2 linked regions of the Callithrix jacchus genome follow. The protein of the gene in region 1 interacts with the protein of each later gene in a pairwise test. Links are inferred from orthologs where the notes say so. Each region holds a gene or a part of one and is shown on either strand. Other genes may lie near its edges.

Evidence for each region.
Region 2: the proteins of STAT3 (region 1) and GADD45GIP1 interact in binary tests that used the Homo sapiens proteins (3 or more experiments, as listed by UniProt). The link is inferred for Callithrix jacchus from reciprocal best matches to the Homo sapiens genes STAT3 and GADD45GIP1.

What each region holds. Positions count from the first base shown.
Region 1 is NC_133506.1:121,806,617-121,811,927, forward strand, and holds the start of STAT3 (signal transducer and activator of transcription 3), read right to left. Parts: upstream 3,415-5,311; 5' UTR 3,220-3,414; intron 116-3,219; 5' UTR 1-115. UniProt on the Homo sapiens protein: Signal transducer and transcription activator that mediates cellular responses to interleukins, KITLG/SCF, LEP and other growth factors. Once activated, recruits coactivators, such as NCOA1 or MED1, to the promoter region of the target gene.
Region 2 is NC_133523.1:11,776,713-11,781,863, reverse strand, and holds the start of GADD45GIP1 (large ribosomal subunit protein mL64), read left to right. Parts: upstream 1-1,789; 5' UTR 1,790-1,800; coding exon 1,801-2,150; intron 2,151-4,481; coding exon 4,482-4,800; 3' UTR 4,801-5,151. UniProt on the Homo sapiens protein: Acts as a negative regulator of G1 to S cell cycle phase progression by inhibiting cyclin-dependent kinases. Inhibitory effects are additive with GADD45 proteins but also occur in the absence of GADD45 proteins.

The DNA of each region.
Region 1 (5,311 bases):
CTTCTGCTGCATCTCACATCTGAATGTCAAGACACATGGAGGCAGGGAGGATAAAGCCGCTTTATCCTCAAGGCACTCTGGTTTAAATGACATTTGGGTCATGACTGTCTTTCACCTAAAACAAACCTAGATTAGTATTTCATTAGTAAATAGCTAAATTCTGATAATAAATTATGCTGACCAAAAACAGTTCTTTTTTTTTTTTTTAAGATGGGGTTTCTCCATGATGGCCAGGCTGGTCTTGAACTCCTGACCTCAGGTGATCCACCCACCTCGGCCTCCCAAAGTGCTAGGATTACAGGTGTGAGCCACCGCGCCCAGCCCAAATACAGTTCTTTACTTCCCAAGTTAGACATAGCAATTAGATAGAAAAATAACCAGCAAGCTCGATTTACATTTCCTTTTTCACCTGTTTTTGAATACATATCTCCCATGAAGTCTTTCAGCCCAGTGGTGGTATTTTACTGTTCAGATATATGTTAGAATTTCACTGTTAACGGCCAGGCACTGTGGCTCACGCCTGTAATCCTAGCACTTTGGGAGGCCAAGGTGGGTGGATCACCTGAGGTCAGGAATTCAAGACCAGCCTGGCCACCATGGTGAAACCCCATATAAAAAAAAAAAGAAACTAGAATTCCACTGTTACTTGCCAGTTGCAGTGGCTCATGCCTGTAATCCCAGCACTTTGGGAGGCCAAGGCAGGCAGATCACGATGTCAGGAGTTCAAGACCAGCCTGGCCAATGTAGGGAAATCCCATCTCTACTAAAAATACAAAAATTAGCCAGGCGTGGTGGGGTGCACCTGTAACCCCAGCTACTCGGGAGGCTGAGGCAGGAGAATCACTGGAAGCTGGGAAGTGGCGGATGCAGTGAGCAGAGATCGAGCCACTGCACTCCAGCCTGGGTGACAGTGCAAGACTCTGTGTAAAAAAAAAAAAAATTAATAAAATAAAATAATAACAATAAAAAAAGGCCGGTGCGGTGGCTAATGCCTGTAATCCCAGCATTTGGGAGGCCGAGGCAGGTGGATCACGAGGTCAACAGATCGAGATCACTCTGGCCAACATGGTGAAACCCTGTCTCCACTAAAAATACAAAAATGAGTTGGGCATGGTGGCACGTGCCTGTAGTCCCAGCTACTAAGGAGGCTGAGGCAGGAGGATCGCTTGAACCCAGGAGGTGGAGGTTGCAGTGAACCAAGATCGTGCCACTGCACTCCAGCCTGGCATCAGAGTAAGACTTTCTCTTGAAAAAAAATTAAAAGAAAAGAAAAAAATTGCAGGAGGCACAAATGCCACCACTATGGCACTCTGCTACCTTGGGCAAGTGTCTTGATTCTTTGGCCTCAATTTTCTTATCTATAATATTAAGGTAATTGTTATGTGAACTACCTACCTCAAGTCCTTTGTAGGTCAATTCATAACTGTGCTGTGGGTATTTTTTTTTCCTTTCTTCCTCCTTTCCTTTTTCTTTCTTTCTTAGAGACAAGTTCTCATTATGTTGCCCAGACTAGACTCTAGACCCAACTCCTGGCCTCTCACTATGTTGCCCAGACCAGACTCAACTCCTGGACTCAAGGAATCCTCCAGCCTCAGCCTTCAAGTAGCTGGGATCAGAGGTGTGCACCACCATGCCTGGAACTGTGGGTGTTTCTAAGTGATTATTCTTCCCAAATGAACTACATAAAAAACAAAAGATTCTTTAATTTACCAATGGTTCTTTGTGATGGTGTGCTAATATACAGACTAAAATCAAGGCTCCAACCTCTAAAACATTTAATTCCAGACTTCTTTCCCCCATCCCACTGTGCAAACTGAACAAAAACTGGGCTAGCACTCCAGTCTGGAACATGTAATAAAGAAATAAATGTGCTGACTCAGAGAACATAGATATATTTGATATAAAATAAAAAAAACTGGCTGAATTAAGTCATAACACAATCTAAAGCCACATATAAAAGATTGAGATCATTTTCTGCTTTGCTTTATTCAAGCCAATGTTTTATTAGCACAGCCAGCCAAAAATTTACAATCCATACACAGACTACATAAACCTTTAGTTGCATATACAATAAAGCCAGCAGGTACACACTATACACATTTCCAAAAAAAAAAAAAAAAAGACTAACCACTGATTTTGTCACCACACATACAACGACCTGATATAGCAGAGTGATGTGTACCAAACATGGAAATACCAACTTGGGTGACGGTCTCAATCCTTTTAACTTCAGTGCAAACACACACCCCCAAACGCAGGTAAAGTTTGCACACATGGTTTTTTTCAAAGCCAGCCTTTGTTTCACTCTCCTCTGCATTTACCCAAGATCTTGGCTCTGAGACAGAAAACTCCCACTCTCGATTGGTTCATTCTGTCCTATGCAATTAAGCAACAACACAATCCAGTAAAGGCAATGGCTCAATTATTTATCTTCTGGCCGACTTTACCAGGTGCTTGGAAAAGAACAATGTCAAGAGGTTTATTTCTCTCTACAGCTGGCTGGACGGGTTAATTGGGATTTTATTTTGTCTTCTTTCTTTTTCCTCTCTTTTTTACAAGGCGGGGGAGTGGAGTGAGGGGAGTATAGCTTAACCTAGAAAAAGATGGGAGGGAATTTAGGAAGAGTACCAGTCTGTCAATTTCCTTAGAGGGAACTTGATTCTTATGCAATAAACCTACCCAAGACCAGCCAGTCCGTGAGACTGCAGGGGACAGACACCTATTCCTGCCTCCAGAGGGGTATAGCTGGCTCCTGAAGGAGCGGGAACCCGGCAACTGGAGGAAGTGGCTCAGCGGGAGCCGCCGGCCGAGCGGAAAGGAAGCGCTTTCCGACACCCACCAGAGCCGGTGATCCCCGCCAGTGTGACAGTCGCTCCGGTGGCCGGAACGTCCCCAGGGCCCCAAGGAGCAGGAAATCGGGGGACAGTCCCTCACGCCTGCCGCCGCAGCCGAGTGCGCTCTCGCCCCACGGTTCCCTCTCGAGCGCGTTCTTACTGTTTCTCTGAAGAACGAAACTTCCCTCCAGAGTCCCCAGTCCCTTCCGAGGCCCGCTCCAGTCATCCAGGGGAGTCTTCCCTCAGGGCGACCCTCCGCGTCTCATCTCTCCCCGCCCCAATGCAGCGTCCATACAACCTCTCCAACGTCCCAAAGGCCCCCGGGCCCTACGGCGCCCCCGGGTCCCCAGGCTTCCCCGACGGCCCCACCCTGCACCCCCTTCACCTGTTTCTCCCGCGGAGGCCGAGAGGCCGGGGCTGCGCGTGAGCCAGGGGCGGGCGGCGGGGCTCCCTCAGGCCAAAGGGCCTCTTCTTGCCGACGAGGAGAGACAGCGCCAAGCAGGGTTGCTGGTCCAGGATCCGGTTGGGGCTTGTTCTCTGGCTGCGACGTCGGAACCCCTGGCTCCCCCTCCCAGTCTACGCCGCCGCAGCTCCGGAAACCACTGAATTACAGCCCTTTCAGCCAATCCCCGTCCAGCCCCGGCCGGGCCCGGCATGCCGTCATGCATAATTCATGATCGGCCAGCTCGCTCGGCCATCCAGAGGTCTCAGTGCGTGTGTGGTACAGCAGAAGCCACGCCCACTAGCCAATGAGAGGAGGCGCTAGGAGAAAGGGCGGGGAAAAGAGAAGACTGATACGCCCCTGTGTTGGCTGTTCCGACAGTTTAGTGCTCCTCCCTCCGCCACAGCGAGGGAAGAGCTCAAGGCTTGGGCACAGAAGCCCGGGGGAGGGAGGGAAGATGACCGGAATGTCCTGCTGAAAACTCAGCTGAGTTCCTGGCAGTGTGTGACGTCAAGGCACTTTAAATGCCCCTGATACAGCTCCCTACTGCCCGCTCTCCCTTTTCCCGGCCCTGGGCACCACGTGGTGGCGAGGTTGAGAGCCTCTTACCACGTGAGAATCAGCCAGTTAGACAGTCCCCCAGGTGTCTTCAGATCCTCTGGGGACCCAACTCCTAAATTCGGTTCTGGGGACAACAAAAAGAACCTGGGTGACTCCGCCTGCTTTGAACTTCAGTTTCTGCGTGAGCAGGGACACATGCACCCGGAAACATGACGTGGAAATAGAGTAATTACTAGAGTGCGTGGGGAGAGGGTAGTGGATTTAACCCCGTCCTCCGTTCCATCACTTCAAGCACCAAACGCCGACCGGCTAGCCCATTGGCTGGTACAGGCAAATGCAGAAGACATTATATACGAAAGCTGACACGTACTTGTAAGACTTGACATTTGTATGCGTCTGAATTGAAATACATGAAATGTTCTGCCTTTTTCTTTTCCACCTTGTCTACTTGGTATGCAAGTTTTACAGAATTGAAGTCAGTGGTTCATAGGAAATGTACATATTTTGCCTTTCATAATAGAGGATGAACTTTGCATAATGGAGTGATTTCTGTGTATGTGCTGATACTATCAGGGTTTTTAATTTTTTTTAAGATTTTAAAAATATGTTATTAATATTTGTGTTTGTTTAATACGAACAGGTATAGAGACAAAATCTGAAAAGGTGCCATTATCTCACTGCTCAGATAACCCTTGACTTTTTAATGAACCTGATTCGTATTTAGAAAATGCAGACCGCTGGGCGCGGTGGCTCACGCTGTAATCCCAGCACTTTGGGAGCCCGAGGCGGGTGGATCATGAGGTCATCCCGGTCAACATGGTGAAACCCCACCTCTACTAAAAATATAAAAAATTAGCTGGGCATGGTGGCGCGTGCCTGTAATCCCAGCTCCTCAGGAGGCTGAGGCAGGAGAATTGCCTGAACCCAGGAGGTGGAGGTTGCGGTGAGCCGAGATGCCGCCATTACACTCCAGCCTGGGTAACAAGAGCGAAACTCCGTCTCAAAAAAAAAAAAAGAAAAGAAAATGCAGACCGTTCAGAAAGGTCAAAATTTTTTAATGAAAATCTTTCCCTACCCCCATCAGTCCTTCTCCCCAAGGATAGCTGTTCTTATTAATTTCTGGTGAGAAAAATCAATGACTCTTAACCTTTGGAAGGGGATCACAGATCCTTTTGAGAGTTTGATGGAGACTAGATTCTAGCTCCAGAAACATACAGTACAAGCTTTTACTTACAAATTCACATGGTTCCCACGCCTGTCTAACATCTACAGATTCAGACCGCTTGTACCACGTTGCATCCAACGAAGGACAGAGGCATCTATGGGGCAATTCACAGGGTCACTGCTGGTGGGGTTGAGTGCCTCCTGTTGCCCTCTGGTAGAAACAGCCCAGTGTGGAAATCGCTGTATTTACCTGTAGAGTTTGTGTATTGATTAAACTGTTCATTTACACTGCAAGGCAGATATCATTCAT
Region 2 (5,151 bases), on another chromosome or scaffold:
CTTCTAAGAATCATCCATCTTGCTGTGAGCAGATGTAATATCTGCTCTTTCATTCCTGTGTACTAGTCCGTTGGCTGAAACAGCATAATTTAGGTGTCCATTCTACTTGAGATGGACATTGGGTGTGAGCTAGTTCCAGCTTGGAAATTACATATATATGTGATGTTCCTATGAACATTTATGTCTTGAGAAAAATTACAATTCTTTTTTGCAGGGGCAGAGAAGGTGTGCATGTGTGTGATTAAAAAAAAACAGGCTGGGTGTGGTGGCTCACGCCTGTAATCCTAGCACTTTGGGAGCCCGAGGTGGGTGGATCACCTGAGGTCAGGAATTCAAGACCAGCCTGGCCAACATGGAGAAACCCCATCTTTAAAAACAAAAACAACAACAACAACATTTGGCCGGGTGGTGGCTCACACCTGTAATCCCAGAACTTTGGAAGGCCAAGGCGGGCGGATCACTCAAGGTCAGGAGTTTGATACCAGTCCGGCCAACATGGTAAAACCCCATCTCTACTAAAATGGAAAAATTAGCCAGGCATGGTGGCTAGAGCTTGTGGTCCCAGCTACTCAGAAGGCAGAAGCTCGAAAATCCTTTGAACCCGGGAGGCGGAGGTTGCAGTGAGCAGAGATGGCGCCACTGTACTCTAGCCTGGGAGACAGAGCAAGACTCTGACTCAAAAACAAAACAAAACACAAATTCTTTTTCTTTATTGTGTATATTTTACAATATGAAACATACTATATTCTACATTATAAGCAATATTTCCCACTCCTCCACCCCCAGCCCCTGGTAACACCTCATCGACTTTCTGTCTCTATGAATTTGACTACTCTAGTTACCTCATATAACTGAATACAATTTTTATCCTTTTGTGACTGCCTTATTTCACTTAGCCTAATGTCTTCAAGGTTCATCCATGTCACAGCATGTGACAGAATTTTATTTTTTTTCTCCCAGGCTGGAGAGCAGTGGGGCAACCTCGCCTCCCAGTTTCAAGCGATTCTCCTGCCTCAGCCTCCCCAGTAGCTAGGATTACAGGCGTGCGCTACCACATCCGTCTACTTTTTGTCCGTCTCAACCTCTAACGTCAGGTGATGCCTGCCTCGCCCTCTCAGAGTGCTGGGATTACAGCAGTGAACCACTGCGCCCGGCCACATTTAAATTTTAAAAAGTAATAAATGCTAATATAAATGCATAAAAGTAAAATTAAAAATATTTTTTACCCAAAGAACACTGAACGCTTAAAAACACATTTTTTAAGTGTCAGTGTGCAGAGGAAAAAAAGTGAAAATTAAAAATGACTTTAAGGCCGAGCGCGGTGGCTCACGCCTGTAATCCCAGCACTTTGGGAGGCCAAGGCGGGTGGATCACGAGGTCAAGAGATCAATTGACCATCCTGGTCAACATGATGAAACCCCGTCTCTACTAAAAATACAAAAAAATTAGCTGGGCATGGTGGTGCGCGCCTGTAATCCCAGCTACTCGGGAGGCTGAGGCAGGAGAATTGCCTGAACCCAGGAGGTGGAGGTTGCAGTGAGCCGAGATCGCACCATTGCATTCCAGACTGGGTAACAAGAGCGAAACTCCGTCTCAAAAAAAAAAGACTTTAATAAGTAACTGTTTAAAAGTTAAAGCTATACTTGGAAATGTATAAAATCTATACTAACTCCTTCTCCTCACTCCCCCGAACTCAGGCGGCAGGCACGTCCCTCGCCCTGCCCTGGCCCCCACCTGGCCTCGCGCTCAGGCAGCGCCTTGAACAGCCCGGCCGGCGTGCGAGGACCCCGCACGGCCAAGATGGCGGCGTCCGTGCGACAGGCACGTAGCCTGCCGGGGCTGGCGGCGACGCTGGGCCTGGGTTCCCGTGGCTACCGGGCCCCCCCGCCCCCCCGCCGCAGGCCAGGACCCCGGTGGCCAGACCCCGAGGACCTCCTGACCCCGCGATGGCAGCTGAGGCCGCGCTACGCAGCTAAGCAGTTCGCGCGTTACGGCGCTGCCTCCGGGGTGGACCCCGGTTCGCTATGGCCGTCGCCGGAGCAGCGGAGGGAGCTGGAGGCTAAGGAGCGCGAATGGTACCCAACCCTGGCGACCATGCAGGAGTCGCTGCGGGTGAAGCAGCTGGCCGAAGAGCAGAAGCGTCAGGAGAGGTGCGTGCGTGCAGGAAGACGGGGAGCTGCCCTCTGTGTCCCTTGGGCGAACTGGGCCCCAAACCGTGCCTACCCCACTGGGGGCACCTCGCAGCATCTACATGTTGTACATTTATATATACGCTTACCTGGCCGCAAAACAAACTCAGTAACAGTCCATTTAGGCATTCATCAGCAAGTCGTTTTGTGTTTTTTTGTTTTTTTTTTTTTTAAGTCTTACTGTTGCCCAGGCTGGAGTGCAGTGGCGCGACCTTCGCCTCCAGGGTTGAGCGATTCTCTTGCCACAGCCTCCCGAGTAGCTGGGATTACAGGCGTGAGCCACCGCAACCGGCCATGATCAGCAAGAATTTACTGAGCGCATACCGTGTGCAAGAACCCGTCCCAGGCTGCACGCGGTGGCTCACGCCTGCTATCCTAGCATTTTGGGAGGCCGAGGCAGGCCCCAAAGGGCTCCTGAAGCCAGGAGTTCGAGACCAGCTTAACTAACATGACGAAACCCTGTCTCTACTAGATACAAAAATTAGCCGGGCATGGTGGTACACGCCTGTGATCCCAGCTACTCGGGAGGCTGAGACAGAATAGCTTGAACCCAGGAGGCAGAGGTTGCTGTGAGCTGAGATAAGGCCACTGCACTCCAGCCTGGGCAAGAGAGGAAAACTCCATCTCAAAAAAAAAAACAAAAAAACAAAATCCTGTCCCAGCAGGAAACAGGCGAGATAATATCAGATGGCCACAGTGGACTGCCTATTAGGAAGGTAAAAGAGTGAAGAGTGCCTGCCTGAGGGCAGCTTTGGTTCAGTACTCTCTGAGGAGATGATGATTAAGCCAAGACCTGAATAACCAGACTTAGCCATGGGGAGATCTCTTAGGTAAAGAGTTCCTGGTAGAAGGAATAGCTGAGGCAAATGCTCTGAGATAGGATATGCCTTAAAGAAGAGCCAAGTGGCCAGTGTAGCTGGGGAAAAGTGAGGGCAGGAAGGTGATGGGTCCTGGAACCAAGGGCAGAGGTCGGGTACAGAGAGGCAAGTCTGAAGGACCACAGGCTTTTTTTTTTTTTTTTTTTTGAGGTGGAGTTTCGCTCTGGTTCCCCAGGCTGGAGTGCCATGGTGAGATCTCGGCTCACTGCAACTTCTGCCTCCCGGGTTCAAGCAATTCTCCTGCCTCAGCTTCTTGAGTAGCTGGGATTAGAGGCGTGCACCACCACACCTGGCTAATTTTTTGTATTTTTAGTACAGACAGGGTTTCGCCCTATTGGCCAGCCTGGTCTCAAAACTCCTGACCTCAGGTGATCCACTTGCCTCAGTCTCCCAAAGTGCTGAGATTACAGGCATGAGCCACTGTGCCTGGCTGGATCAGGGGTATCTGTTACAGATAATGCCACTTCCTGGATGGCAGAGGGGGTAGGTCAAGTGTGTTCCTGGTATTTAACCTTCTGGTTTTCCCAATAGCCTTAAGAGGAAGAAGGGATTGCCCTAATTTTAGAGATGAGGAAACTGAGGCTTGGCAAAGTGAAGTCATGTGTCTGATCACCCAGGCAGGGAATGTTGGAGCAGGGACTCGTTTCTGCCCTTCCTCAGCCAGATGACCCTGTTATAGGGCAGCTTAATTCTTCACTTTTCCAATCCGTAAATGAGGCCATCATAAAAAAGAACGAGATCATGTCCTTTGAAGGGACAAGAAGGGAGCTGGAGGTTATCATCCTTAGCAAACTAACACAGGAAAAGAAAACCGAATACAACATATTCTCACTTCTAAGTGGGAGCTAAATGATGAGAACACATGGACACACAGGGGAACAACACACATTGGGGCCTTTTGGAGGATGGAGGGAAAGAATCAGGAAAGAGAACTACTGGATACTAGGTTTAATATCTGGGTGATGAAATAAATCTGTACAAAAAGTTAAAAAAAAATGGGGCTGTGACTGGTAGCTACAAACTCAAGTATTGATGGGAAATGTCTTTCTTGCTTTCACTCCTGTGCCTAGAATTGGGCCTGGCTACAGTAGGTACTCAGCAATGTCTGTGGAATAAACATGTGAAATTGTCCATGGGAGTGGCACTTGGTGGCTCAGTAGGTAGCTCAGTGAAATGTTGATTTGGCTTTGGCACATGGGGTACTGGGGCTTGACACACTCTTGTGATCAAATTCATGCACAAGTAACTCTCTTCATCTCTTCCTGTTTCTTCACTTGTCAAGGGCTTCTCCTGACAGTTAACCTTCTGGGGGAGTTGAGAAGGCTAGTGCGCAAAGACCTATGGGTGGGTTATGGTGGGTGAGCTCTGCCCTGGCTGAATGCCAGCGTCACGGCCCACTCTCCCTCCCCTGCAGGGAGCAGCACATCGCAGAGTGCATGGCCAAGATGCCAAAGATGATTGAGAAATGGCGGCAGCAGCAACGGGAGCGCAGGGAGAAGGAAGAGGCTGACAAGGAGAGGAGGGCCCGACTGCAGGCTGAGGCCCAGGAGCGCCTAGGCTACCAAGTGGACCCAAGGAGCACCCGCTTCCAGGAGCTGCTCCAGGACCTAGAGAAGAAGGAGCGCAAGCGCCTCAAGGAGGAAAAACAAAGACAGAAGAAGGAGGCACGAGCTGCTGCAATGGCTGCGATGGCAGCCCAGGACCCAGCAGCCTCAGAGGCACCCAGCTCCTGAGCCTTTGTCCTTTCCCAATAAAAGCCTGCTCCCTGGCAGTCCCCCTGAAGAGACCTGTGTCCCCTCAAAGTGTGCCTCTCTGGATCCCCTGGTTCCTCCCACAACACCTAGGGCTGGGCTGGGGAATCCCCAACTTGGCTCTACTCAAAAGGGGGACAGGGATTGTAGGCCCTGCTTACTGAAGCTTCAGGACGAGAAAAGGCGGGGGTGCAATGGGCAAATAATAAAGAAGCAGATGGCAGAAGAGAAGAAGGCTTCTGTTTACCAACATTCTTCTCCGGTAATTAGCCAATTATGGGGTGGGGGGGAGGGGAGAAGTATAGCCAAAACAGACTGTGGTGGTGATGGTGG